4 linked regions of the Drosophila melanogaster genome follow. The protein of the gene in region 4 interacts with the protein of the main gene of each other region in a pairwise test. Each region holds a gene or a part of one and is shown on either strand. Other genes may lie near its edges.

What was found.
Region 1: the proteins of Tsp97E (region 4) and CG15545 interact in a two-hybrid assay, tested with the Drosophila melanogaster proteins (one large-scale study listed by BioGRID).
Region 2: the proteins of Tsp97E (region 4) and mRpS6 interact in a two-hybrid assay, tested with the Drosophila melanogaster proteins (one large-scale study listed by BioGRID).
Region 3: the proteins of Tsp97E (region 4) and FoxL1 interact in a two-hybrid assay, tested with the Drosophila melanogaster proteins (one large-scale study listed by BioGRID).

Annotation. Positions count from the first base shown.
Region 1 is NT_033777.3:30,869,062-30,875,872, forward strand, and holds CG15545 (uncharacterized protein), read right to left. Parts: upstream 3,291-6,811; 5' UTR 3,220-3,290; coding exon 3,202-3,219; intron 3,139-3,201; coding exon 2,893-3,138; intron 2,810-2,892; coding exon 1,997-2,809; 3' UTR 1,878-1,996; downstream 1-1,877. Other genes in the region: CG15546 (uncharacterized protein), read right to left, coding at 5,841-6,811.
Region 2 is NT_037436.4:4,361,740-4,367,843, reverse strand, and holds mRpS6 (mitochondrial ribosomal protein S6), read right to left. Parts: upstream 3,295-6,104; 5' UTR 3,259-3,294; exon of another isoform or gene 3,166-3,258; 5' UTR 3,144-3,165; coding exon 3,099-3,143; intron 3,033-3,098; coding exon 2,634-3,032; 3' UTR 2,601-2,633; downstream 1-2,600. Other genes in the region: CG11342 (uncharacterized protein), read left to right, coding at 430-1,146; CG33514 (uncharacterized protein), read right to left, coding at 1,354-1,984, 2,044-2,348; Cip4 (Cdc42-interacting protein 4), read left to right, coding at 3,982-4,096, 4,717-4,817.
Region 3 is NT_037436.4:4,014,150-4,022,122, forward strand, and holds FoxL1 (forkhead box L1), read left to right. Parts: upstream 1-4,728; 5' UTR 4,729-4,944; coding exon 4,945-5,315; intron 5,316-6,247; coding exon 6,248-6,503; intron 6,504-6,559; coding exon 6,560-7,030; 3' UTR 7,031-7,130; downstream 7,131-7,973. Other genes in the region: Mul1 (mitochondrial E3 ubiquitin protein ligase 1), read left to right, coding at 7,386-7,490, 7,555-7,973. UniProt on the Drosophila melanogaster protein: Transcription factor. Coordinates the placement and migration of various organs during embryogenesis, including the salivary glands, hemocytes, germ cells and Malpighian tubules.
Region 4 is NT_033777.3:26,958,625-26,967,940, forward strand, and holds Tsp97E (tetraspanin 97E), read right to left. Parts: upstream 6,194-9,316; 5' UTR 6,079-6,193; coding exon 6,019-6,078; intron 5,662-6,018; coding exon 5,494-5,661; intron 4,897-5,493; coding exon 4,534-4,896; intron 4,457-4,533; coding exon of another isoform or gene 4,382-4,456; exon of another isoform or gene 3,916-4,381; intron 3,828-3,915; coding exon 3,732-3,827; 3' UTR 2,440-3,731; downstream 1-2,439. Other genes in the region: Gr97a (gustatory receptor 97a), read right to left, coding at 6,520-6,753, 6,805-7,848; CG5521 (uncharacterized protein), read left to right, coding at 8,820-8,925.

The sequences.
Region 1 (6,811 bases), 3.9 Mb from region 4:
TCAATAAACTTCGATGATGTTGAAAAATGATCAAAATTAATTTAGAAACTATGTTAATTTGGGCCTTGGGACGTCTGAGCAATTTGTACTATAATCGAGTAAAAACAATATATGAAGGAAACCAAGTTCGTGTCCTGCAGTCTTTTGTTTTTCGGCCAGTGGCCGCTTATTTAATTTCCAGCAGATTTATCTAAACACCTCGGGTGGTGAACGCCCACTAAATGCGGCATTACACAACCGACTTTCGTACGTGCAAAACAAGTTTCGAGTTTCTGTTACGATTCTATGCGGCCAACAAGGAAAGACCTCAAACGGGTTTCGCTCATTTGACAGTAATCTTGGCCAATTGTGCAAAATTCCGATGAAAATGAAATCAGCCTGGTGTGCTGGTGCTGGCTAAGCCGGAAAACCATGTGCAAGTGGGGGTGGCACTGGTTCATTAGGGGATTGGGGCTCTAAATCAATTCCCAATGGTATTGCGATCCGTCAGGCTCCAGTTGCGTTAGTGCAACTTAATAACATCCAAATGTTTTGCATATTTTATGCACCATCGAACGCAAGAATGCCGCCAGCTAATTTGCTATTTCCTCTCACCTGCTGAGTTCTCAGCATATGTGTGTTATAGTTTACAACTTAATTCGAGCACCGATTGCTATTCTATTATTTAATTGCACTTATACCTATATATTTACTTCGGAAATAATAAATTAATTCAGGGCATGCTGAAATAATTGATTTCATTCAATATCTCTCAAAATCTATTCTAATTTGACTATATTTTATTCATGATTCCATTTTTACTTATTTTTTAAATATTTTTAGTGCTAGCATTTTATTGTTGTCTTTATTTTTAGCATTTTTCCCTCTGTACTTTCCACATCCATTGGTTGGCATTCCTTTTCACCACCGACAACGATTACATTAACAATATTAGCAACACTTTTCAGAGCTTAGCTTTCAAGGTCAGATTTGTTGTGGACTCGAGGGTCCGGCTTGGAGTTTGGATTTTTGCTTTGCCTGGCTTTGGGGTCTGGCTTCTGTTGAAACTGTTTAGTCAATTAAGAAAATCAATTCGGTTTTGTTTTTTGCTACTTATTGCTTTTTATGATTTCTTCTCCGCGTGCCTTTGTGCACCCACTTTTGCGGCAATCGCAATCGATTGAATTGGCTTGCTCAATTGCGGATTTTCGTTCGGATTTGCGAAAGAGGTAAGAGTCGAGAATTTGCCTGGGATCGAAACAGGTGTCTCATGGGTGTGTTGCTTCCAAAGTGTTCTTAATACGTCTATTTTTATGAACAACACACGTTTATGATTGACTGCGTTTATTTTTAAAAAGGTAAACGTCGCCAGAATTTGTCGTGAAATGTGGAACTCACTCCAATTATGGCGATGTGGGTGTGACGAATACAGAATCCAATTAAATTGATGAGTAATTAATATATTTAATTAAAGTGGCGTATTATAAACTTGAAAACATCATTAAATTGAAAGGTTATTTGCAATTGAGTTAAGTGATATAATCTTTTTTTTTTTAAGCAAATAAGCCAGCAACACTCCTTATCGGATTCACTTTGGTGACGAATTCTCCTCATGAAATGGTAGAAAAGCCGGGACACCATACATTTAGCTGAGACAAGAACCGAGACTCTATACTTCTTTCAAAAACCGATAGAGACCGCCACCGTTCTCTTGATAGATACAACAGAAAAGTATATTAAAACACTTTATAAAATATACAACTATTTATGCTTAACTGCTCCTAAGCGCCAAATAACTCGTATGTTAAAATTCGTAAATTATAAATTAAATGCATCAAAATATATCCATAATTTTCTTTCATATCAACACCAAACTTCCAAGATAAAGTCATTTAAATAGGGGCATTTAAAATAAATGGTCTTTTATTACTTAAAAATACTCTGTACAACAAGACTACTCTAAGTATTTATAAACGATATTTTAATTAACGATTAAGTCAGGACTTAGTAATCCCTCTCACACATTGATGACCAGTGCTGTGGATCGGTATTTCCTTTTCGGTTTGATGATGGTCTTGGGTGGTCGGTTAAGATCTCCACTTGGAGGACGCCGGCGTGATCGAGATCCCTTCGGCGGAGAAGATGGTGGGTGTTCGATGTACTTGTTGCGCAGGTGTCCGGGCCCCGAAAAGTTGGGCGGATAGGCCTCAAAATCCTCGATTTCGAGGTCTGGCCGCGATTCCCGCTCCTGTTCCTGCGCCTGGGCCTTGAAGAATTTTTGCAGCTTCGGATTGTTCAAAAGCTGAACTTTGATGGCCTCGTCGAGCAGCTTCTGCTGATCCTCTAGGTAGGCCTCTACTTGTTTCTTGGAGGCGACGCTTTTGTAGCGATCGTGGCTTTTTGGTCGGGGCACTGGAACCACCTCGTAGTCATCGTGTTCGGGCTCATAAACACTATATGAGTTGCTGCTGGAGGCGACGGTTGCCTTTGGAGGTGGCACTAGATGGAAGGGATCGGCTTCCGATTCGTATTGCACTGGGGTCCACTTCGATCTTTTCGGAGGAGGTCCAACATCCTCTCCAGATCCAATATGAACATCGGATCCATAACCGGAGGGCTTGTGGATATCGGATCCATAACCAGATGCCTTGTATGGAATGGCCGTCACATATTTTGGCTGCTTCTGGTAGCCGGAACTGGACTTCTTGGGCACGGTTATGGGATGCTGGACGCGAATTTGGGTGCCAATCGTGTATTCCCGACTATCCTGAACGGAGGACTCTCCTGAATATTCCGCGGAATTGTAGCGTTGTTCGTCCTCTTCCTCTTGCTATATTTTAGGGGAATATTGTATTATTTCGGGCTTTTAGATCTTTCCTATTATTTGATATCTTATTTGTTAGGCCAACTTACCGATCCGTAGGGTCTGTAGTGGCTCTTCTTGGGATACTTTTTGCTCAGTGGCCGGTGCTTGCTCTCATTTGTTTGCAGATCGGCACGGAAGTAACTAGCGGGTCCTATTCTCACTGGTCCTGGCAGAGAGCTGGGTGCGTGCCCAGATCCTGAACCCACTGCACTGAAGTAGCTCCTCCGATAGTAGGATCGTGGGGGTCTCAGCCCCGAGGTGACCGTCACTAACAGCACCGCCGCAGCAAAGAACTAAGGAGATAGTATCCATTTCATGTTAATTGTGAATCTACGATTGCGGATGCAACAGCTTACATTCCAGCACACTTTCATTTTGGGTGGCGGCTTTTTCGGGGTGATTGCGTCTTGTGAAAACTCTCTTCAATGGTATTAACCACCAGCGTGGCCCCAACGAAACTGAAAGTTCGGCCAACGGACGCAACAGTTTTATGCTAGCTTCCTCGAACCTGCTGCAACATGTTTCGCAATGGCAATCGCAATTGAAACCTGCCAGGTGAGCAGCTAGTCAGTAGCAGATCGAAATCTCCGCTTCACGCATGGACTTACTACTCACAACAACATGGAGTAAAAAAAAAGAGTTTACCGCGCGCAAAGTGAGGCATTATTTGCATTTCCACTAGGAAATAGAGCGCCAACTTATCGGATGGGGCAGGGGGCATAAATAAAATGTTTCTTTATGGCCGTAATTACACATAACGATGGCCATTTACTTCTTCGAAGTTGTAACTGTGGAGGGGGCTTAGGTTGTGGTATGTGACTTAATAGGAAAGTAAGCAAATTAGATATGCAAAATGTACGACAATATAGTTAATAGGCAAAGATTGATGGCTTTTTTGAGTAGCGTAATTTGACCTCAAACTTGTTAATATACAGCTAACTAAAAGGAATGCCTTTATTCGATAGTAACAAACTTACAATTGCTAATTAATAATCATAACAATCATAATCGAAAATGGTAATATATCTACGTTCCATTAAATATTTAACTATTACAATCGCTCACTTTACACCAACAATTTTTTAATGTGTATGACGTCGACCGGCACGAGCCACCCACCCACTAAAAAGCAGAAGAACCACCTATCCTATCGACTTTTTTAAATCAGTCTTGCGGCAAACGGGTTTCCACGAGTATTACCCAATAAACGCTGCACTTTTCTTCTCTCCGCATTTGGCCCGAAGTTCAGGTTCAGTCGGGGCCAAGTCGAGCCAGGAAATGTTAGCCAGCTGGCGCTGCTTTTTGGCCCCTTTCGCCTTTTTTGCCGGCACGCTTGGACTACTTTCTATCGGCCAGGATGCGCGATCGAAATGCGGAAGATGTATGCCGTATGGACGTACATGAGCGGAGGTTGAGCAGTTTGTCTTGTCCCGGAGTTGGTGGAAGTGGATGTGGATGTGGAAATGGAAATGGACGAAGAAATGGTTTGAGAAATGGCAGTGGATATGGACAGGGAGTTGCGTAACATTTCACCACGCTTCATTTGCACAATTATTTTGCACGCTTATCCTGTCTCTGGATTTTGAATTGGGTTCCCATGGCAGCTGCAGATTGTCGGCAATTAAAGCGATGCCTTAATTAAATTCCCGGCTAATGCCGCCTTGATTGCAGCCCCGTGGCATATGTTGGATAATTGCCGCACTTGTTGCAATTTGCTGGCTGGACAATGGGTGGTTGGATTCCACACCCCGTTCCAAGACAAGGTCAAGCTCAAGTTCAACACGCGTGACAATTGGTTGCAACGCCGCATAATGCCCCGTTTCCTTGTGAAACCGCTCGGAAACCCCACCAGTCGCGATTTAAACTGGCACTTGGACTTCAACTTGACTGCAAGCTTGGTTGGATTTCCGCTGGCTCCTAACAATGCCACCTCAATGGCTCTTTCTTTCTGAAAGTTTTGTGAAAGGAGCTAGGGGCAGGGACCTGCGAATGCCCCAGCCCCAGCCCCAAAATGGGCTGGCCAGGTGAGCTGCCCAGAGCAACGGACTTGATTGCCAGACTAGCAAATTGTTGGGAATTTCAAATGAGTCGATAAAGAAAAGCCGCGCGAAAGGGTGCCTCGAATTACATTACGGTCTATGAATTACATACTAGATCGATTCATAATATTGCCAAACAGATTACAGGCCCATCAGTGAGCTTGAGGTATGAATAAGTTTCTATTCACACAATGCACACAATGAATAGCTGCGTTGTATTCATGGCAAGCCTTTCCAAGTTCAATGTGCGCCTGCTTTCGATTACCTCGATATAAATATATAACAACTTGAACTTCACTCTCTTTCATTATTAGTTTGAAAACTGAATACCAAACGAATTGATTAAGTGCCCATGTATATTTTTCTGTGCCTATAGTAGGTTTTTAAGGCTTAATTGAATATTTCCCGATTCGAAATTTATTTGGTTATATATGTATTAGTTTATTAGCATATCTCTATCATTATAATTATAGATTTTTCTGCGTTGGCTTTAAAAGCTAAATTAATACATGATCGTGGTGCACAACAACAGCATCGCCGACAAATTAGTCAAGATCAAGGTTTGTTTATGTATGTATATTCAACCGCTCGAAAACAACAAAAAAGCCGACTCATTCATTCGCATGTGGGTGAATTCAGAGTTTGTATGGGATCGTAAAAGTAAAAACTAAAAAAAGGTTGAGCTGCTGCTGTCGCATCAACTTGCTGCTGATGTGGCTGTTGTGCTGCAGATGTTGTTGCTGCTTCTGTTGCAGTCGCTGTTGGCTTTCAATTAGCAATGCAGATTGTTGCTGTCGACTTACTACATAGAGAAATATTTGTAATACTATTTCATCCTAATGATTGTCAAGCAGATATTCTTGTATGATCTTCTTCATCGCTTCAGTTATATGTTTTTGCACTTGCATTTCTCACTGTGTAGCTGCACTAATCACTGAACACGCGAACTGGAGCCCTCAGTCCGGCAGACCCACGCTCACTCTCTGCCCCGCTGAGCTGCGACGCGCCTGCGCAGTGGGCGGCGACTGCGACGCCGTACCGCCCACCATCAAAGCGTCGCCGCTGAAGCAGAGGCTGCTGCGCAGGTGTTTGCGAGGGTCAGAGGGCACGGGGGGATCTTCGTCGATAGTGTGTGTGTTACCCACTCCGGATTGGGTCTGTGGCATTTTTGGAAAGATTTTCCTACCATTGCCGTTGGCCTGATAATTATTATTATTATTTAATGGCTTGCTCCGACTAGTTTCCATAAAAGAGCGTTGATGTTGCTGCTGCTGCTGCTGCTGGCGACTTCCTGTCGGCATATTTGGCTGCTGACGGTAGCGAGTTTCGTAGGTGGGCTCCTCACGATCCTCGCGATCCTCCCGATCATCGCGATCCACCCGATCATCGTAGTAGGCGTACTCGGCAGCCTCCTCGTTGTAGGTCACATGCTTTTTGGGCAGTCCGGGACTTCGGGTTAGTTGCAATCTTCGGACTCGACTTTCCAGATGGTCGTACGGGTCCTGATCCTGTGACGTTTGCTTCAGTATCCTTTTGGGCAGGGGCAGTGGGCGTGGCCGCCGCCACTCGGGACTGTCGTTCAGGGGTTTCTTGGTGACCTTGGGCTCCAGTTCCACGCTGAAACTGCGCACATTTCTTTTGACCTGCAGCTTGGGACTGTTCTTGGAATTCAGTTCCACTTCGCGCTTGTCATTCAAGTCCATTTGTGGTCTCCTGGCGTTATTTTGAGTTAGGTTATCTGCTTCGTTTACATAATCGTAGAACTGGATCTTGGAGCTGTAAGCCTGCTGGCGACGGCTGCTGGTGTCCTCAGCTTTGTTATCCGATTCCTGCGGTCTCACTTCGGTTAGTTTTGGGGTTATTTCTCTGCGTAGACCCCTTGCCAATGAAGGTTTATTTCCAGGATTAGACTGCAGATTATCATAGA
Region 2 (6,104 bases), on a different chromosome or scaffold from region 4:
GTATATTTTGTTGTTGTATTGTACATTTCATTGACGATATTTTGTACATTTAGTTATAGTTTGAAACTAATTTACACACCAAAGAGCAAGTGTTAACGATTTTTAAGTGTAAGTGTTAGAGCCGTATAAGCAGATAGCAAGAGGCGTTTCGACAAATATAAACAAAGAACGCAGTAAATAAACGCAAAAATGATGAAAATGCATGTGAGTTTTATTTGGAGATGCAGTTTGAATTTGGCGGTTTTCTTAAACTGCACCTTTTAACACTGGCCTTGTGAAAATTGTAGATGTTAACTCACTTAACAGCGCTGCTAGAGATGGCATGTTAACTTTGTTGTGCATTTAAATATGATATATCGTCTCAACGACCATCTCTAGCAGCATGTTTCTGTGAAATCAAAACAAATAAAAACACGAATCTTATAAAATATGGATATTAGAAACAACGATCCCGGCGCGGTTCAATATGGCAACTTCTTCAACTACTATCAGTTCAGTTCCGCCGCAGAACGCGTGAAACTCTTACCAGACGCGGACATATGGCTTCCTGCGTTGGAGGATGGAGAAACCCAAAAGGATAAACCCTATTTCATCCTGGATGTGGGCTGCAATTGCGGCGTACTCACTCAACTCATGCATAAATATCTGGAGGAACGTCTTCATAGATCTGTGAAAGTTCTAGGTGTGGATATAGACCCTCGGCTGATTCAACGTGCCAGCGAGGAGAATGAATCCCCGAAAGATGTGAGCTACGCCTGCGTGGATGTCCTCGATGATGAAGCCTTTGAATCCGTTAAAACCTATATGGAGGTGAATAATCTCGAGAAATTTGATGCCATTTGCTGCTACTCCATTACCATGTGGATTCACTTGAATCACCATGATCAAGGCCTGCGATTCTTTCTGCAAAAGCTCTCCAATCTGGCAGAGCTCCTGGTGGTGGAACCACAGCCCTGGAAATGCTATCAGAAAGCAGAGAGACGCCTGAAAAAAGCCGGAGAGATATTCCCTCTTTTCCTGGAACTTAAGTGGCGATCTGATGTGGATCTTCAGATACAAAAGTACCTGGAAGAGTCTTTGGACCGAAGAAAGATATTCAAATCCGCACCAACTAAATGGCAGCGAAAGATCTGCTTCTACAGATGATAATAAAAGCTAAAAGGACAATGTTTATATAGGAGAAACCTAAAACTGCTGCGAAGTATCGTAGCATATTCATGTATTCCTATATTATCATTCCTACTATTGGATTTTACAATTCAACTGATGCGAATGTGTTTTCTAGCCACTAAATTGGACAACTTTTTCAACTGGCTGATAAGAAAATAAAATCTTTAAAGTTACAAACTGAAACTAGTCCACGTTGAGCTTTCTAAAGGAACCTTCTACTCCGAAAAGCCCCTCAAAATCGATTGGTTTTCCGGGACGCAGGCTCTCGTCGGTGCCGAAGTTCACATTTTCCTGGAAGAAATCGGCGTACTCGTCCAACTTCTTCTCCATGGCGGCCACGATGTCCTGCGTGGTGCCATTCTCGCCGCCGTATTCCTCGGGCAGATATTTCAGTGGAATCTGCTCCGTCAAGAGCCCCATTTTGTTGCCGTGCACAAATAGGCGAGACTGCATTTTCTTGGACATCATTGGCTTGAACATGTTGAACAGCTGCTCGAATCCGGTGATGGTGTTGATGAAATGCTGTGCCTTCAGACGCAGTGGAAGTGCCTCCTCCGAGAAGACAGTGAATTTCTTGGCCATCGACGGCGTCATCTGGAACAAGTGTGCGGCGGTGGCACCCTTCATGTCCATAATGAAAACTACTCCATTGACATTGGCGTAGTCGTCCTCCAAAATGGCAATCTCCTGCATTGCCTGGGCCACTTGCATGCACTCCAGCATTGTGTACTTCTCCACTGGCACCAATCCCATGCGCCAGATCCCGATGCGAGGTCCATTTTCATTCAGCGGAGTGGGCAGGTAGATGATGGCACTGAATTGACAGAATTGCATTGATAAATTAAATTAGTTAGCTGGCGTCAAAATCCTTACCCCGTTTGATGAATCTCCCGGAACTTGCTATCCGTGGTGTTGGTAACTCGGAAATAGTCCGGATACTTGGTCTTCAGCGTGTAGTACTTATCTAACTTGGACTTGGCCCGCTCCAAACTGTACTTGCAGCCGCGCAAGAAAGCCACCAGAAACTGATCATCCATTCGGGGATTTAGATGCGGCTGCTGCTCGATCCATGTCTTAAACGCCTGCAGATCGGCTTCGAGACGTTCGGGATCCTCCTTGAGCTGCTCCTTGGCAACTTTTTGCAGCTCTGGCGTAAGTGGACGGATTTGCGGTGACATTTCTAGGTCGTTTGCGGTCAGGAGGAAGTACTAGTGAACTGCTCGACGATTCTTGAGGCACTACCTGGACAATTTACGTTCTATTGATGGTCGATTATACGGAGCTTTATCAATTAATTGATAAGCGTCCGATTGGGCGCCATAAACCAAACAAAGACAAACATTGTGAAAAGTACTAAGATAACAGGCGCATTTCATAAGGAATGCTTCAGTTTGAATTAGCCAAAGATCGAGGAACCCACAACCGGTTTTAGCATACATAATTAACGCGTTTTATTTGGTGTTTTATTTTTGGAAGGGATAGTAGTCCAGGCCGGAGTTGTAGTTGAACTTCTTCTTTTGCTTCTTCTGGGCGGCCGCAATGATCTCCTGCACATCCTTGCGATACGCGGGTGGCAGCATCTCCTCGTGCAGCGTGCAGGGCTTCTGCTCGGGCTCCTCCACCTTGAAGATGTAGCGCCGTATGATGTCGATGTCGCGGCCAAACTCCTCCTTCAAGTCTGCGATCTTAGTGGGCGCCGTATCAAAGGCGATGGTGAAGTGGGTGCCTTCCCGGTGAACCACCCCGTGTTCGCTGACTTTGTGGGGCAGGGCGCGGGATCCCAGGTTCTCCAGCTTCCGGATAATGCCGCCCTTGTCCAGGATGGACTCGGCCGTTCGCCTAATCACGGAAATCAGTTCGGGCTGCGGGCGGTGTACAATTCTTATTTACTTTTATGTAACTGCCGGTGGATTTCATGTGCTACTCACGCGAGGCAATTGGCGGAGCACCAGTGCTAGTTCGTAAGAAGGCATTGTGACCGGTGAATTGTATGAGCTGGTAAGGAATTTAATTTCTTATATTAACGTTGTTTCTCTCAAGTTTTAATTCATTAAAAAGTTAGTAAATCTAATGTAATTGTTGACCCACCAGCTGATAGTGTTAACAGCTGATGCAAGGAAAGTACTAAAAATGATCTAGCGCCTGGCGCACATGCTTACACCTTACAGTGTGCCAAAATCTATTGCTCCAGTGAATTTAATGTTCAAATTAATATATTATATACAACAATAAGCGATGCTCTTGTTACTTTAAAAGCAATAAACAATAATAAGAAGTTTCTTCCAAGCTCAATAATAGCTTTCTTCATCTGTTTCAACGTTATGTTATTCCATAAAATTATTAGTTTTCAAGGCCACAATAATATATTTAAAAAGTCTACAATTAACGTTAAATTATAAAAAAAAATGGGGGCACGTATTAACGAAAGTTTCATATATTTTATATAATAATAATTAAACTTTACAGTTGCTCTCAATATGGGTTCATATCCCCGCTAGATGTTAAAGAGTTAGAAATTAGGTCGCCATCGGTCTCTGGTCACACTGCAAACGCAGAGGTGTGCCTATTCAAACACATTGCGGTCACACTGTGTATTGATGCCGAAGTGAAAAAACGAGCGGAAAGTTGCGAGCGGATAAAATTGTTTTTTCGCACGCCAAAAAGGAGAAACAAATGCTTGCGTTGTGTGAGTGCGGGTGTTTTAACTGTGTGCTTGTGTGTGTGTGCAAATGTCGCCCGAATTATGACGCATGCGAAAGTGCAGGCGCTAAATAAAACCCAAAATCGAAAGAAGTTGCAACTGCAAAGCAAATGCTAAAAAAAAAGTTAGCACAAATAACAAAAAAAAAAACGGTGGCAGATCTAGAAGCAGAGTGCGTGCATTCGGCAATTGCGTTTACTTGTGTGCGTGTGTGTGCGAAATTATGTAAATACAACAATAGTAGAATTCCAATTGTCCTCTCTTTCTGCTTTTCTCAATTATGAAATGCAGTTGCATCGCTCTCTATCTCTATCGCTCCCTCTCTCTCCTCACTCTCTTTGCGCATCGAAATGCCAGTGCATAGAATTTTCTTATTTTGCACTTATCACTAAACAACTCCCAAAAAAAGTGTTTAAATTCTCATTATCTATAATTTCCTTCAACTTCATTTTTCTACCTGCCGCTGCAACTGACACGTCTGCATTGCCACTCTTTTTTGTTTTTACATGCTTTCTTACCTGCCCAACCACCGAAAAAAAAAAAAACAAAAATGAAATATATCTGACTCGAATTGCTCTCTTTCATAGAAAATTAAACATCGCGCCGCGCAACGCTGAAAAAAATATAGAAAAACAAACGGAAAATGAAAACGAAAAAGCAGCCATAAAATTAATTAACCTTTGCGGGAAAATATAAAACAAAAACGAATAAAAGTTCTCATCTTTTGCTCTTCTCCCTCGCTTTCTACCTTTCTCCCTCTCTCCTCATCGTCTGTGGATTACATTATCTTCTGTGGATTATTATTATTAAAACAACAACAACAACGACGGCAACAACAAATACAGTGGCAAGCGGATCGAGCAGAAGCAGCAGCAACAACAAACTGGCCGAATCGGAAAACTCAGCGCAAAACTCCAACAACATGAGTTGGGGCACCGAGCTATGGGTGAGTTTTTCCTGGATTTAGAGGGGCTATATCTTCAGATAAGAAGTCGTATTTCATTGATAAAACAGGGGGTTCCTATAAGCAACAAATACATAGTTCTGCTTGTTTGAGGAGTATGAATGTATACCTATAGCTAAAAATCAAAACAAATTCGTAGTTTAGCTTGATCAGAATCATTAAGGTGTCCATTACCAGCTCAAAGAAGCTGGGGTCGGAAAAATCGAATTTTTGAAATTTGAAAGCTGGAATCGTTTGCCCATTTTTTGCCCATGTTTGCCCACCAATTAGTTTTTTTTGCCCACGTCCAGTTTTTGAGATATGAATTTTCGAAAAAGTTCGAAAATTTTCGAAAATCAAAAATTTCGCTTTTTTCAAATTTTTTTTTTTTAAATCGCAATAACATCGTTTGCCCACGTTTGCCCACCCTTTAGAATTTTGAAAAAATTTATACTTTAGAAAATATAAGGCTTTTAAGTTTACCTCGGTCTAATCAGAGAGTAAATCGTTTGCCCATCTCTTAAAACCAAATATTATCAACAAAAAACGTTTGCCCAACCATTATTATTAGTTTTTATCGTTTGCCCACCCTTTAAAAAACCTTTAACAAAAATTTTTTTTCGATTGCCCACACTTGAAATACAACTAATTTCGTTAGCCCACCTCTTCAAAATAAAACTTTTCAATAAAAAACGTTTTCCCACCATTTAAAAATAAATAATTTCGATTGCCCACCTTTTAAAACTAAATAATTTCGTTTGCCCATCCTTTAAAATTCATTTTTAACGTTTGCCCACCCTTTAAAATTTGTTTTTTTCGTTTGCCCACCTCTTAAAAATGGTTTTTTCGATTTTTCACCTATTAAAACTAAATTTGTACATATGTACATATGTAATAATTGTAAGATGTGGCGCCAAAAGCACAGTTACTTACAAAAGAACAGTTATTTACATATTTACATACATTTTCAATATATCCATAGTGTTAATCATTCATGAATTGTAACATCAATTTTTCTTAATCATTGTTTCATTTCATGGAAAATATTTTATATTGCAATATAATATATATGCAAAAAAATGTATGTATGTTTATCAACACTCTCCAAGCTCAAGAAAATTCTGGAATAAAATATTTTCCATGAAATGAAACAATGATTAAGAAAAATTGATGTTACAATTCATGAATGATTAACACTATGGATATATTGAAAATGTATGTAAATATGTAAATAACTGTTCTTTTGTAAGTAACTGTGCTTTTGGCGCCACATCTTACAATTATTACATA
Region 3 (7,973 bases), on a different chromosome or scaffold from region 4:
CGTGTGTTCCGGACTCCGGTCTCCGTTCTCCGTACTCCGAATACGGAATAGGTTCATGGGTAAAGGGGTGTGGGAAAGCCAGGAGTGAGTGCGGTATATGAGCACCGCATGAAGTTTTGCCTACTTGTATTTACATACAAACAAGTGCTGCAGCAGCAGCAGCAACAGCACGGGGGAATTTTCCAGCCCACCTCCCCCTTTGTTGGCTGACTTTCCCATGAAAAATAAACAAGCGTTTGGCTCCGACAGTCGCCAAGAAGTCTGCGACGGGCCATGGATTTTGCTGTTGCTCTCCAACTCACCTGGCTGCCCCACAAGGTGGCAGCAGTGTGTTGCAAGGTGCACTGTGAAAAACGGGGGCTGTTTGGCTATGTTAACAATGAATGCCTCTTCGAAACTCTATACGTTTGTGAATCGCCCCAATGAAATATAAACTAACCCAACTTTAAATTGCTCTCGTTTCTCGCAGTGCAGGTCCTTGGGGAGTTGTCAGGATGTTGCCACTGCCTGTATTTTAATAATGCATCGAAATGAAAGTGGCTGTCAACTGGAGATTTGACAGCTGCTTTATGCCGGCGACAAGGATCGATGATGGAATCGCAATAGAAGGTAATAATGCCCATTGGCATCCTGTCAGGTGCGTAGACAGACTTGCCACAGATTATTTCACTTAGCTCCCTGGATAATGTGAGATAATTAGGCGGTGGACTGGAGAGAGGTGAGTGGAATGGAGTCCACGGAATCGGCGGCTCATTAGCACATGGCACTCGAGGAATACCCCGTGGTAGTCCACACTTACTCATAAATGCCATAGATCTTTTCGGGGGCCACCAGCTGGCCCACTTGATGGCATAAACAGATTGCATGGGGCTCGCTTTGAAGTGCGAATTACCCGCGGGGTCAACCGCAACATGCATGTACGTATGTACATATATACCTCTTTATAACTGAACAACAGGGCCGTGAAAATGGAAAAGTTGGGGGAAAATGGATGAAAATGGGGGAAAGATGGGGCTTCGGTTTCGCTTTTGGCCGTAATACATCTTGGAAATCTGTTTAATGGGCCGCACGGCCACTTGAGAGGCTTTTTGAAGCTGTTGCTATTTTAATGTGGTCGATATTCTAAATTTAAACAAATAAACAAACATCCATTGCGCTGCTGTTGAAAGTTTATTGTTGTTAAACCTGTGCAGCAAAACTGTTTGATATTCCTTTACGTTTGCCCGGTTGAGTAGCCGATAATTTGGCACTTAAAACGTGCGAAATTCATTCACATTTCCATTTCCACTTGATTCATTTTGGCCGGGAAACCAATCAATGTGAGTGCTTGGTTTATGTTTTTTTGTTTTCCACACCCCGCCTCACCAAAAACATCCGCCCAGCTTGGCTTTTCCGACCGACTCCAGCCACCTCAATCCGCCTAGAAAATCGAAGAAAACTTTTCCTGCGGCTGGAAATCAATATGAGTAATACGAAATAATAATCCACGAGATTCCCGTGGTTTGGGGGCCACTCGAAAGCCAGCCATTCTCGATTTGTGTATAGATTGCTCTTTTTGAAGATGCCAAATAGCTGCGAAGGCGAAGTTATCACTCAATTTATAGGTTTTTCAAGTGCAAATGAGGTGCTGTCAGGCGGGAAATGCTACAAATGATTCGAGTTATTCGAGTGAATTAAAGTTGGGCAATTTGTAATCTCATATTTTAGATACAATTAATTCTTGTTTTCTCAAACATATATATAAATTCTTGGTTATTTAAAGATTTCAAAGAATATTTACCTTTTAACTCCTTCAGCGAACATTAAAAAAAAAAAACCAAGAAACCGCCCAAGTCTGCAAAACACAAATCAATTGCAGTTGCCAACAAACTCAATGGCTAAATAAATTATGGTTTTCGCTTACCGCTATCGACTTCAAACCCGCCATTAATTAACACCAACCCTTTTGGCCAAGGAGCTGAATCGAAATGGCCGCGATTACTCGAGTGTCCAACACCTGTTACCAACAAATAAGGAGCGCAGGGTGGAGTAAACTACCGCCGTCACAGGTCAACAACCAGTTTATTGCTCACGCATTTCATTTCAGAAATCTTCTGGCGTTCCGAAAGTCATCATTATCATCGAGGATGCTGGCAGAGATTGGTGGAAGGGGATGCTGGAGATGGAGCTGGAGCTGTAGCTGGAGCTGTAGCTGGTGCCATGCAACTAGTGTCAAGAATCGCATAAATTTCCGATTCCGGGACGCCGAGTGTGCCATTTAATGGCCGGCAAAGGTCACGTTCACACCGCCGTAATGGCTAATGGGCAAAGAGCGGGTCCTGACAATTCAGGTAATGTGGATAATTTGCTGTCAATGATGTGGAACGAAGGGGCCCGGCTCTCTCTGCGGTCCTCGCTATTTGTTGTCAAACAACACGGCAGCGGCATCATCTCGGCATCTACTCCTCTTAATAGTCCGTGCTGCATTTTACGGCGACTATAAATAGGTTCTACTAGATGTTAATGCCTTCCAATAAACGCAGGCTCATGGGGCATGTGGCATGCGGCATGGGGCACCCCATCGATTTTTGACAAATCACCGCTTGTCGAGCACAGCCACAAATCCATGCTGATCGATGATTTGTTGTCTTTGATCTCGGGAGCAAGCCACAGTGGTGTCGAGTGATTAAATCAAATTTTGACAAGGTGTCGACTGGCGGCACTCCGAGTGTATTTGCCGCAAAGTGTGCCTGAAGTTGAAAATCTTACAGTGGAGCTTCATAAACAGGCACTGTACGGGGAGTACCCAAGTACCTAAGTTTGGCTAACAATCTTAACACAGCGGATTTGAAGTAACTAAACTTTGAGTATCTTAACATGCAAAAGAGTCGAGCGATGTAACATGTCGCTTTCTCTCGAGGCTCTACTGTAATGTATCTCAGCTAAATGCAAGCAGTTCACAGCATAAATCAAGCGATGACAACGTGAACAACAACACCGGTAGTCACGCACTAAACTATAACTATAACTACGCGATTACACACAGCGATTAAGTTGCGGTTGGGGAGCTGCGCTGCGACTAAATAAACAGGATCCGAGGCGTTTTATGGCTTAGTGCGAGGGATATGTCAAAAAAGATGCGGTGAAATGCATAGGAAAACATAGTTTCACAACGAAAAACATCGATCGGTGTTCGAAGACGAAATCAGACCAAACCGAGCTGGGCCATAAAAAACAATATTTGTTTCCAATACTATTCCCAGCATAGGTCTAAAAATAAGCAAGCTAAACACGCAGGGCAGCGACATCTTCGAGAGAATCGGAGGACCATGGGCCATAGGATAACCCATTGTTTTATGACCCATTCTCACCAGCGGTAAGCGATCGTAAAATTTGAATAAATCGGGAGAGAGCGTGAAGAATCCTTTGTGGCATTGGCATCATCCACACATGTGAACTTCAATTGCTTCGGGCATTTTGGATTTTCAGTTCTTCGATTTGCGTTCAATGTTTTTATTTCTTTCAAATGATCTCTGCTTTCTACTTGAGAACGGAACGATCGTAAAAATCGAGCGTAGTCCTGTTTGAAATGTATACACAATTGTTTTACGACCTTTTAAGATATAGACCAAGACTTTCGGTTGCATTCGGAAAATTGCGTACTTGACTGCCGCGAGTTTACTCTCGCTTTCCTTCGTTCGCTCGGAAAAGTCGTAAAAATCGGAAGGCAACTGCCACGAGATAGCATGGGATGTCAAGGGACCAGATAATGCCGACTTCTGGCATTATCTTGCCAGCTGCTATCCGGTGGAATGTATAAACGGAGTGCTTCTTGGAATCGCTTTATTTAAATAATGTTTACAAACCAATTGAACTGACGAGTTATCAAAGCTCTTTAGTGAGTGCTATCAAGAGATTTGAAAGTTATAAAATGATTAAACATCTAAATGAACTTTTTCAAGCCAGAAAAAGGCTAAATTAGTGACTAACTCACGCAATGATTACATACATACATATGTAACCTATCATAATACTGCAGTATAATCTTTTTTAATAACTGGGACTAACGATGTACGCATGAGATCCTAGAAGCTTTACATTATTTCCAAAGATTTAAAAATTCCCTTTCAAGTGCCCGTAATTCAAGTGTAAACTTTGCTCGATTTTCATTTGTTGAAAAATCAAAATCTACATATTATTCAAAACACACTGGGACTCTCCCACACTCACTCACACATGGGGAAAAGGTCTTGACTCCGCCCATCGAGGAAAATACAGGCAAATGAGAATGGACATAAATAAACATGGAAAGAGTAGAGAACATATTTGTAGGAACGCCCCCTCAAAAGAGAGATCTGCCATATAACGGGTATATGCGAAAAAGATATAGTATAAGCAAGGATATTAATTAGTAATGATATAATCAATCTAAATCTAGTACTACAAAGTTAATAACTGAATACACTTAAATATTAACAACATCATCTTATTATATTATAACATAATAATCTCAAATATATTATACTTATTTCATATTTCAATTTATTCAATTTCTTCCTTAATAAAATTTAAATTTTTCAAGGAAAATTGTTTTCCCCTCTCTGAGAACTTACGCATGTGTGGATCTTTTGGTGAGGGTGTTTGCATATCCCTATATTTATAGACCAATGCGCTGCTCTCCCCCAAAAACACACACCCATAAGATTGGGATGAGGCATTACAAGTGATCTGCGTATCCGAGTTCATTCATTAGTCGATCGGACTTCTTGGCTGACGCAACACATGGTCCACAGTCGCGCTCGAATCGCCCACAAAATCGGAAGTAACAGCTAACCGGAAAACAGGACAAAAATCCTAAATATCTAACAAGTTAATGTGAAGTGATATTCGAAACAAAGTTCCCGAAAGATACATAAAGAGTATAAAAGAACTTTGAATCAAGTTACTGGGATTTCGTTTTGAAAAATGTTACCCTCTTGCTATGCCAATGGATCGATGCTGCCGGATAATGAGGAGCTGGTCAACTCCATGCTAGCGAATCCGGATTATCTCAGGACCCAGGTGTCACCCAATCCGCTGGCTCCAAGTGCCGTCGGAGGTGCGGGCATGGAGGGTCTGATGTGCGGATCGTTTTCACCGGCCTTCTACTACCAGGGCATCGATAGCTTTCTGGCCCTGCACAACAACATCTGGGGATTGCCTATATCCTTTCTGCACAACTCCCATCGACCGGAAAAGCCTCCTTTCTCCTACATTGCCCTCATCGCCATGGCCATCAGCAGTGCACCCAACCAGCGACTGACCCTCAGTGGAATCTACAAGTTTATCATGGATAAGTAAGTTAATTGAACAATACAAAAATACGAGATCTTTGATAGATCAATAAGTGAATTTAGTTTGTAAATCAGCAAATAAAATTTCCAATTTCTGTACATATATTCTACTAAAGCTCTTGTTTTTACAATCCTACAAAAATAAATGTTCCGCCTTGTCTTAAATCGAGGAAAATTTAGATGACATTCTTGGCTAAATCAAATGCCAAAATAAACAACCGCCACATTCCAAGTATCTGTACAAACCAAAGAAGTTTTTATCCCGAGAAGAAGTTTTTATCACGAAACTTTTGCCACAACTGGGATTAAGTCGGTGAAATATGGAGCATTAATCCAATTTCTTAATGTGAAAATATATAAATATCACGCAGATTACTTGGTAATTATCCATATGAAATGGTTTCATTTATTGGCTTAAATTTATTAGTCATATCTTTAACAAATATTAAAATATATATGTATATATTTCCTTTCCTGAATGAACAGAGTGCATAAAAAATGGCGGCCAGATATATAAAATAGATCGCAAGTAATTTGAAAAACAGGAAAATGAACAATGTGTTTGTAAACTAAATATTTCCGATTTCTTTATCAACATAAACAAATATTATTTTTATTGCTTTTTCAAATCGCTTGATTTAAACAAACCAGCGGAGGATATAGATATGGGCTAATAAGATGTGTATCAACAGCAAGTTTTTCAGATTGTAAAATGATTTTTATATATACAAATTCAGATATTCAAAGCTGTGAAATTCTGAAGTAAATAGTTTTGATAAACACGCATTCGATTTATATTTATAAAATATCTTTTCCATTGTTAATTTATTGAAAATAAAGTATATATGTTTACCCTTTCAAAATTTGATAAAAATGTCAAGGAAATATAGCTCCTAATTAATTAATTAATTGGATAATATCCAATTATTTTTTAGATTCCCATATTACAGGGAGAACAAGCAGGGCTGGCAGAACTCCATTCGCCACAATCTGTCCCTCAACGACTGCTTCGTGAAGATTCCGCGGGACAAGAACACAATCGAGGATAACGACAGTGCTGGGAAGGGAAGCTACTGGATGCTGGACTCATCGGCATCGGACATGTTCGAACAGGGAAACTACCGCCGGAGGAGAACGCGCAGGCAGAGGCACTGTGGCCATCCAAATCGCTACGAGAGGGAATCGGGAAAGGTATAATGCACATCTAAAAACTCATAAACAAATCGAATAAATGAATTTATCTGCAGGATTCAAATGATGGCAACAGTAGTGCAGCAGAGATTCGCTCGCCCAGCGAACCGCTGAGTGACTTCGATATCTTCTGCAACGAGCGGCCCAATTACTCCGACAGGATTACGGATCTGCACAGGCAGTACTTGTCCGTATCCCTGGGCTTCAACAGTCTGTTCAACAACGAGGCCCGCGGACTCCGACCACTGCCCGAGATCAGGGAATGCCCAGACGATGTGGACGCCTCGTCCAGTTCCAGCAAAGCAATGCAAAGTTCCATGGAACTGCACGAGGAGCTACATTCGCCGAGCGCCTTTACTCCTCCTCTCAATCGACGGGAAACCTCGTCATCGGGTGCACCTGTCCTTGCCGAAGCTTTTAATGGCATCAAGGATGTGGTGGATGCACCTGGGAGCAGTCCAGTGGCCAGCAGCAACCGATCAAAGACCACGCTGTTTACCATCGACAATATCATTGGCAAGCCATAAGCAATGCACCTCTTTTGGCTTAATTATCTTAATTTAGTGATAAATATTCTTGCATAAAATACATAAAAGTGATGGAGTTTTAAAATATAGATTGGTTTGCATTGGCCGTTTTCTAATTGCAAATTGAGAATTGAATTGAATTAAGCTAACTTCTTTTTGGCGGTAAATTTCAAATATGAAAGTAGTATTTTAGAGTGACCCTGCACTCTATGGCATATACTAATACGTTGAACTAGTTCCATTCAACAGGGTGAATATTTAGTATTTGTAGCCGTTACGAGCAGCGGGAAACACAGCAACACTGAGTAAACATATGTTTTTGTAGCGTAATATAAATAAAATAGCATAACACAAAATGGAATTTTTACACGAATCCGTTGCACTGGGCGTGGATCTGCTAATACTTGGCCTGTGTGCGCGCGAGTACGTGCACTACAAGCGAACTGCCAAGGTGCTGAAGGTGCGTATAGAAATACTAATGCACGTAATAAGTGGCGTTTATTGAGTGAACTGCTGCTTTTCAGGCGGCACCACAATACAACATCGATGGAGACCTAAAATCGGTGGTGGAGCGGCAGCGCGACAAGAAGATACCATATGCGGTAATCCGGGGCACAGTGACGCCCATCGGGGTGCCACTGAGGAGCTCCCTGGTGCCCAGTGTGAGTGGAGTGCTGCAGATTGTGAAGCTGCATGAGCACAGGGTAACGCGCGGATTCGCCGGCTTCTGGACGGAACAACACAAGTTGCTGCACGAATCCGCCAACGAGATGCCCTTCGAGTTGCGTAACCAGAGCCATGGTGTGGAGATTGTGGACGCCTTGAGTGCCGCCGTCTTGGACGTGGACGTGGTCTACGACAACTACGAGCCCTCCAATCTGTCCCTCTTCGACCATGTGTTTGGTTTCTTCTCTGGCGTCCGTCAGAGGGGATTGCAAACGAC
Region 4 (9,316 bases):
GTTTTGCCAGTGTCCAGGGGTTATTTAATTAAACGGCCCCACAGCTAAGCAAGCAAGGCCAATATAAACTGTTTACAATTTCTTGGAAAACTCACTCGAACGAATAGATGGGAGGGTGTATTTGGGCGGGGTAATGGTTTTCGGTGCAACAGCTGCTGCGCAGACCATTTTACACGCGCTGCCCCTTCGTCTCCTAATTACTTGGCTTACAGGACATGAGCTGACCAGTAAAGCTGAATTAAATTATTTTTTAATGTGAACTTAAGAACCTTAAAGGTGTTGAAAACTGAGGAACTCTCCACTTGTCGTATACGCAACCTGAGTGATGTGGGGGTGGACGTTGCGCATACGCCATGTGCGCCACATCATAACTGCCATGTTAGGCAAACACACCACACACACCAAGTCGGTATTTGTTTATTCATTTTATTCCATTTTATGGGGGTCGTAAAGCGTTTCCCATTCGAGCGGATTGAGGAATTTATTGAGCAGAAATGTAAAGGATTTTCTTAATGGAAATGCTGCTGAATACATTAGAATGATTTTCCCGAGTTGAAGGGTGCATAAATTCATTTAGATGTGTCAAAATAAACATGGTAATGTTTTTCAAATCAATATAAAATATTGTGCATACTTTTCTTTTTAGCCGAAACAATTAGATGCTTATTTTTCACATTCCCAAGGGTTAATGTTTTATGGGTGTTTACTAGAAAAACTTTTTGTTTAGATTTTCAGAAGCAATATCTTTTCAATGCCAAGGAATGTATGAGTCCAATTGGATGAAAATACTGTAAACAAGCCAATGAATTCTGTAAATTTTCCCTTCAGATGAGATCACATCAGTCCGGTGGTTTTAATTAAATGTAATCAATAGGCGGCTTGACTTTAACTTGACATTGACATTCAAATAAATTTCGCCTGTTCTCTATCGCATACAGTCCTATGTATATACCACACATTCGTGCCCCAAAACATCGCCATGGTTGACTGCGGCTCAGACGGAGATAATAAGTCCAACATGACACGACACCGACATGGGCAGTAAATTCGAATTACGAGCTACGGTGGGCGGAATGGACCCACCTCCAGCGAAGAAGAGGAAGAGCGATTGGTGCCAGTAAAACGGTGACTAAACGGTTCGCCTTCATGGATTTTCGACAATCGAGCGACGGCTCCGCTTCGAAGGAGCTAAAAAACGTTCATCTATTCAAGTGACAAGAAAGAAATCTTAATAGACATGCCCTGAAATTTCCATTCCACTGCATAATAATAATCATCAGTATTTTATGCCGTGAATCACATCGTTTTATATCTCATGGGGCACGCAATTGACAAGACATCGCTCATACGCAACGTTGGCTCAACAGTTGAGAACCCGGCATATGGTGGATTTAGGGATAAGGACCCAGCCCAGCCATTAGGAATTTTAATATCTGGCGCGTGTCAAGCACTACGAATATAAAAGGGTCAATCACATTTAGCTTAGGCAAAGGGATGTTTGGAAAACTAAAGTTTTCAAGCTGGTATGTCATATTGAAACCACATGTAAATGTTCATTTTGAGCGACATTTGTAGGACATCAAGGTATGCAATCGAATATATTATTTAAAATTTCAGCTTATTGGGCACACAAGCAGAGAAATGTACTATATTTTCATTTGTTGAATCGATATTTTTATTTTTAGTGTGCATTGCTTCTTATTCACTGGGTCCCTGCAGGATATTTCTCTCAAGAGCCTCCCACACAGACGTTCATTTCGTTGATCTGTTTGACAAATAAATACTGATGTTTCCCCACCTCGTTGACACGACACTTTGGATGAATTTTCCATTTCCATTTCACTTTGCAGGCAGGAAAATGTGACGAAGTCGCATCTGTTGTTGACCATTTCCGCAGCGAGTGTCAACAAAGCCTACCAAGAAATGAGACAAGCGTGTTTTTGGGGCGAGGAACTTGCGGCTGGGGCGAACCCGGCATACAGGATACCACCACGCCCACATTCCAACACGCAAAAGCGGAAACGCCGCCCCTGGATTTCCGCCCCCTGGACTGAGTGCTCGTTACGTAAGCGCACAGCTCTCTCTTCTCTTCTCATTGAGAGAAACAAATTTTCTGCATCGCAGTGCGTTGAACTTGGCCCAATTCAACGCAGCTTTGAGTGAGATTCTTCCCTGGCCATTTTCTCGTTGAGTGTGTGGGCCACCTTGCTCATTGGGCTCACCCCTCACTCCTGCCCAGAGAGGCGACAAACTAAGCGCTAGCGTTAATCTCCTCCAGCGCTTATGATGATTATGGCGTTCGGGCACGATTTGTGCTGTGGGTACAAATCGCTAGAAGCAGCTACAAAACATTTTGTAATATCAAATGGTTAAAAATTAAAATATTTTATAAACAAGAAACTTGACAAAATCAAAAACACAATTTACATAATATACAACATTTTATTGCTGCATGGGATATTTGTTAGTTTACATTCATTCAACAAAACATTGCATAAAAGTAGTAAATAAATCAAATTCAAAATTAATAGACAAATTAAGTTCAGCATAGGAACGAGTACGCCATATTAAATGGAAAACACCATCATACAAATTCCTATGCTTCCTCAACCTGAACAGCCCTCATCCATTCCGCCACCTTTTGTGGCAAGTAAGGATGCCTGTGGTAAGCCGAGACCCTTCGCTAATGATATCCCAACCGCGAATTCCCAAGTGGGAGTGTCGCTCATTAATTTGGTTTGGGGAAAGGCGGGAAATGAAACTCAAGACTCGCTTTCGTTTTGCTTATGTTGTTTTAAAGATCATATTTACTTCAATCACAGCACAGAATACAGAGAATATTATCTAATGGTTTACTTGTCGCTCGAAAGGAAACTGGAAAGGAAACTATTTTCATGTGAGTGTGAAGTGTGCGTAGAGGAGTAGCGTGTTGGGTGTGATGTGTTTCAATCTGTTTTTGACGGCTGGTGGCGCTTGGCGAGGGCAAAAGTCGAGAAGGATAAGCTGCAGAGAAAGTCGAGCTAGTGCGGAAAAGAAGTGAAAAATTCGAAGAAGCAGTTTTCTTATGTGTAGGGTTTTATCCATAAAGACTTGTATAATTGTTGACATGTATGTATAGAGGATTACTCTTTTTTTGTTATTTTGTGGGCATTTTTTCTCGCTAGTTTAAAGTTTAACACACAGCTAACATTTAGAGTATTGTTTATACGCCTTGAGGGCAATAATGCAATTACGTTTGTATATAGGTTGATGTATACTTATTACGTTGCTAGTTACAATTGTTGACTGGTTGTTAGTTCTACAGTAAGATCAGGTTGTTGAAATGTTTGTCTCGTAGTGGTACAGTAGTTTTGAGTGGAGGTCGAGTCACGTCGAGTCGTTCATGATTGTTGCGAGTTGCAAAGAAAGGCATTAAGAGCTAACTAAGGACTTTTAAACGGTTAAACTTAGATTACATTATTACATCTAAACATAATCTCAATGGAGGTTTTGTAATTAAATAACATTGTGCATTTATAGCATGTAGAATGGTAAAATAAAATTATCCTTAATAGCAGCAGCGTTGAGCACATGTATAACTCCTCCACCATCTCCTTCTCCTTCTATTAAGAGTAATCTTTTGTTCCAGTTTGGATTCGATTCTGGTTAGGAAACGCGATTGTAAGAATTAAAATTCAGCCTTCGTCCCTTTGACTAAAATGTTTCACTTCCTTGTTGTATTTTCAGCCTGTTCAATATAAATAATCGTGCGGAAAGACGGCGCGTGCGGGCAGATAGCAAGGATCATGTTGGTTGCGGTAGCGACGCGCCAGGAAAACAGCCAGGACCTGTGGAAGGAAGATCAATTAAACAGTGTTCAGCAGATATTATAGAATTTAAAAGAAAAACTAAAGCCAGCATATAAACAATTCTCACCCTTGGTCTCTAGTTGGTTTTTTGCTTAGTCAAAGAGTAGGCAGTCAGGTGTTAGTACAATTTTTTTTCGAAAGTGTTAAAGAAAGTGTGTTGAGAGTAAAGGGAAATATGTTTCTTAACTGATTGCTTGCTTTTTGGGTTAAACGCTTTGCTCTCTCCTTCTATATATATCTCTCTATAATATGTATATATGTCTAAAGTTGTATATCAATTACGAACTAACACATTACGTACATAGTTCTGCGGCAATGTGATTTAATATATATGTATGTATATATGTATATGTAGATGGTATAAATATAAAGGATGCTTGTATATGTATGGTATGTCGGCCCCAAGGGCCATGAAATCTTTCATCGCAACATTAAACATTTAGCAGAGACAGAGCAGATATACATGCACTAAAGAATTTTCGAATGTTTCTGTATCTGGAAAATGTTTATCTCTCTCTCGACTAGCTTCTAATTTAGAGAAAAGCGCTGGGCAAGCCCCGCGGATCCTTTTGATTGCGATAGCGAACTGTTAGCCAGACGCCGACGAACTAATTGCAGCATGTAGGGATTGATTTGATAGGAAATTTGATTACTTAAATCAGATATGCGTTTATTTGCGCATTACCTCAGTGAAGCTGAAGAAGATGCCCAGACCGCCGCACAACTTGAAGGCATAGTCGATCTTGTCCTCCAGTAGGGGTCCACATGGTTCGCAACGGCAGTCCGGCTCGGACGAGTGGGCACAGCACTGTTGATTGATCAGCTCGCACGAGGGCTCATTGGACGGGGGAACCACGGAAGTTGTGCTCGGTGCGGTGGCATTGAATCCGCAGCATTTCAGACTATCCTGCACTTGTTTGCGCAAATCCGTGGGCACCGTCATCCATCCTTGCTCGGCGAACTGCTGCTGCTGTTCGGAGTTGACGGCCAAGCAGGAACTGGCGATGGAGAACTGGATCAGGAACAGCATGAACAGAATGATCATGTACTGAAGCCGCGGAGAGTCTAAAGGTTAAGGCTAAACCGGGCAGTGCTTCTACAAAATATAACATTTGCTTTCCCATATTTCCACTGGGGGTCACGTTGTGATACCCTCCAGCTGACGTCATGGAAGCACAAAAAGCGAGGCGGCAGCTACAGCCACTGAGGCCCACTCATAATTTCAGTCATTACGGGCCCGCTTTCACTGCGGAAGTGGGTACTTGTCTAAGTACGCTAATTGTTCCACATGCCACGACCTTCGTGGTGGGCCGCAATAGCGGTCAGAACAATAGCAGCGCTAGGATATGAAAAAGGTCCTGCAATGAAGCTACCAACTATTTAGTGTTTTAAGCTTTAAAGAAATGATTGCAAGCAGTATCTTAGTTAGATCTCTGATTTTAACCTATTTGATGGTGATTGATGCTTTAGATCACTGCTTTCATATGCTTCATATTTTGAACGATTAACTATCATTTAAAGACCCTATTGATAATTTAATGCTATATTCTTGCGCTGCTATTTCATTGACCACGACTGTAGCTGCCTGCTATGTACATATGCATATACATATTGTAAATTGATAGGCTTTGAGGAAAAAGGATACGAAGAAGAGCATCACTTGGTGGTGCTTGACGGCTCCGGCGAGTCCCAGCATGGATATGCATATGAGGATGACACCGCAGGCCAGGATCCCGCCCACAATCGGCAGGTTGGTCACTATGGAGGCGGCACGCGCGTACACGCCCACTCCAATCAGCAGGAATCCAATCATCTGGGGGTCGCTCGCACACACACACACACAGGCAAAGCAAAAAAAAGGAAGAAAGAAAGGAGGCAAATGAAAAAGGACTCAAGGATTCTCGTCTTGAGGGCAGCAACAACAATTGGCGGAAAGGTATGTATACGCACACACACACGTGCAGATTGCACCTGGCACCGCAAAGGAAAATCAATACATATTTATGTACCGAAATGATACAAAATCAAATTATTCATTTTCCAATGTGGTTCTTGTTGTTGCTGCTGTTGCCGTTTATTCATTGTTACTCTTCCGTGTTTGTTGTTCCTGCTCTTGCCTTTGCACAACTGTTGTTGTTTTTCCTTTCATGTTGTTTGTGTTTGCGCTTACCACATACAAAATGTTGAGCGCAATTAGCGCGTTTTTCGAGCAGGTGAAACCGCCGCACATGATTTATGATTGTTTATTATTACTGGATTCTAAAGAAACTGCTTAAAAACGAATTTAGCTAATTGAATTTATTCCGTCTACAGAAGTTTTCACTTTCAATATAGATATCGATTTCGATATCGATAAGTTGTCCAGTAACTGAGTCGATTGATTTATTTCAGTGTTATCGGAATATTTGAAATCGCATTATGACTTTAAAGTATGCTCAAAAGACACAAAAACTAAATAATTCGTTACCAAATTAAATTTATTTTCTTAAAATTACGTTCTAAAACAAAATAATTGTTTTACACAAACATCAGTAGTAACGCGCATATGAGTCTTATCGATAAGATTTTTTTTTGACTCTGTGCTAAGGCGGTTTTTTCAAAAAGTTGTGCCCACATTTAAATCGCTGTGTTTTTAAATACTTTTTAATCTTGAAAGGTCATGCAAACCACATTATTTTAGAGAAAACCTTAATGTCAAATCACTTTGAATGAGAATCAGCAGGCTTCCAATAGCTGACGAGAATACCTTATTGACCAGCGAGGTATTCAGTTCCAGGAGGCCCAATGGCATAAGCTTGTAGTTGATGGTGACGACCTGCAGCCAGAAAGCATTCACCACTTGCTTGAAACGGGCATCGGCGTGCTGCAGATCGAATCGCTGCAATAGTTCTCCAGTTCTCCTGGTCTGCAAATAGTCGTTATAAGTATTTCAAAACTTTAATCATATGACAATCACCTCCACGAGGGTTTGGTTACTTATCCGAGCCACCATGACGAGTTCCAGGAAGGGAACAGCCAGAAATACGACCAGAACAATGGCCAGAAAGAGATCGAAAGGCTCCTCGTTGATGTAGTGATCCGCAATGGCCAGATACTGATTGTAGCATCCCATGGTGATACCGAGAAGGTTCATTAGCATCGATAGCACCATGGACCAGTCCGTGAACCGAAGGTAATTCTTTGAGCGGCTGGCAGTGAAGCCATATTTCCTAGCCAACTCATCCAGAAGATCGGCTAACTCGCAGAAGCGACGCATCCGGTAGTAGGGCTTATGGAGATTCATCTGGACAGGTGACTGCAGCATATTGGCCTCCTTGACAATGCCGTGCAGCTTACGATTCACCGCGGCAAATATCAAATTTGCAAGTACCAGGCCGCCGAAGAAGCAATTATTTATCTGATTGGAAACAATCAGTGGCAACATGGTCTTCGTGGTCGTTACACTCGTCCATTGACTTTCCGAAATGGAGCGTCTATGATATAGAATCAGCGTTATATAGGTGATAAGGGGACAGAACACGATCTTGAGCAAGCCATATATAAATGCCCGCCACACAATCATCGCCGAAATGTCCAGTGAATCGAGGACCTTGAAAAGAGGCACACTATTCTGAAACCGAATTATTTGCAGTGTTTTTTCCCATTGGGTCACATAGTTGAATAGGCAAACGCAGACGTTCATATAACAATATATTCCAATTGTATCGCGAAGATTGATCTGACCAGTGGAAATTTCATTATAAATATTCCAGATGTAAAACAGCGCAAAGAACGTGGCCACAAATAAGCTATAGATAGTGAGCCCTTTGGAAAACACAAACTTCTTGCGCCTGAAGGAAAAGCGGCCGAGATAAACGCCGTAAAGTATGTTAAGGAAAACGGTCGCGTAAAGACAAATCGTGACCAGTTGGGTATGGAGTTTTCCTCGCCGGAAACGAACGGGAAGGCTTCGCTGCCAGATGGAGCGGAGTCGACGTGTCTGCCTTCGCAGGAATCGCATTGTACTGAGGATGAATTGGGGATGAACTCAAGCTAGTCACTTTGGCCAAATGGCTACTTAATTACCAAGCTTCTTATCTGCGATTAAATAATATATTGGTTCAACGAATCACAGAAGTATTATGTGTGAAACACAGACATGCCAGTTAAGTGAGCCTCACATAAAAATTATATTGTTTGATATTTGATATTTTTAAAGCGTGAGATTTTAATATTGAATACCTTGACTATTTGTGTTGTTGTAATGAACTTAACTAGTAATGTTTTCAAAATAAAAACCACAATGATTTTATTTGTACGAAACTTGATTAAAGAACGTCTTCTTAGCTGTAATGTTAAGAAATTTGATAATTCGCACTATTTGAAATCAACGACTGGTTCATGGTGCGAACTAGTTCCGTGCAGTCAAGTTGAACCTGCCAGCACTGCTGCGAACCGGAACCACAGTCAGCGAACGGAACCTGAAAAGAACTGAAGACGCGACGCAAATGGAAAAGAAAACATAAACGCTGAAAGCTGGAAAAATGCGCTGTAAATCGCCAGCCGTTGGATTGCAAGTGCAAAAGCGCGTTGCCGAGTGTGCCCGTGAATAAATCGCAATGGAATAAGTTTAAGAAATTGCGATAAACAGCAGCGCAAAGCGACGAAACCCACACACACGCCCCCGCACCACCCCTCCGCGCGCCGAGCGGGCGTTGCTAAATAATTTCTCCGGGGCGCTCCGCTGGACAATAGGTGTTTTTTTCTTTGGTTTTTTTTCGTTGGCGTGCGCGTATAAATAAATAGCCGAAAGAGCCAGAGAAAAAACAAGGCAGAGAAAAAAAATCGGAGAAAAATCAGTACAAATCAGCGAATAGAAAGTGTATACCGCCTGCACTTGTGCCTGTATGTGCGTGAGTGTGTGTGCGAGTGTGAGTGAGCGAGTGTGTGTGATGTGTGTTAGTGCGCGGGGCGAAGAACACAAGGTGCAAAATGTTTACAAAAAAATCGCATGCCGACGTGAAGAAATCCACGGCCAAGTTGCAGGACTCCAAGAAGGATTCCGCCTCCCGACTGCGACACCTACGCATGATATTGGGTGAGTAGAACCTAAGGTATTCCCCTCCAGATCCGAACATATGCTAAGTAACTCACTTAAGCTAGGCATATTTTACAAACCCTTTTCGAAAGTATGTAACTATTTTCCAACCACTCACCGTGGATTTGCCCATTGAAACCAAGGTCTCGCGTTGGCGGTTCTGTTGACTGTTAATTATTTCATAATTTATTTGCATTCATAGCAATAACAATGAAACTGGTTGGCTTTATTTTTTATGCATATACTTTTTTTTCGGCTCGGTGGGCGTCGTTCGCACCATTTTCGTTCCACGGTGGCTCCGCTCTCAATGACGTTCTGCCCACAGGCCGCCAAACAACAACAGCGAAAAGTGGATCCACAGTGCTGGCCATTTCCTGTTGGGCACCAAAGA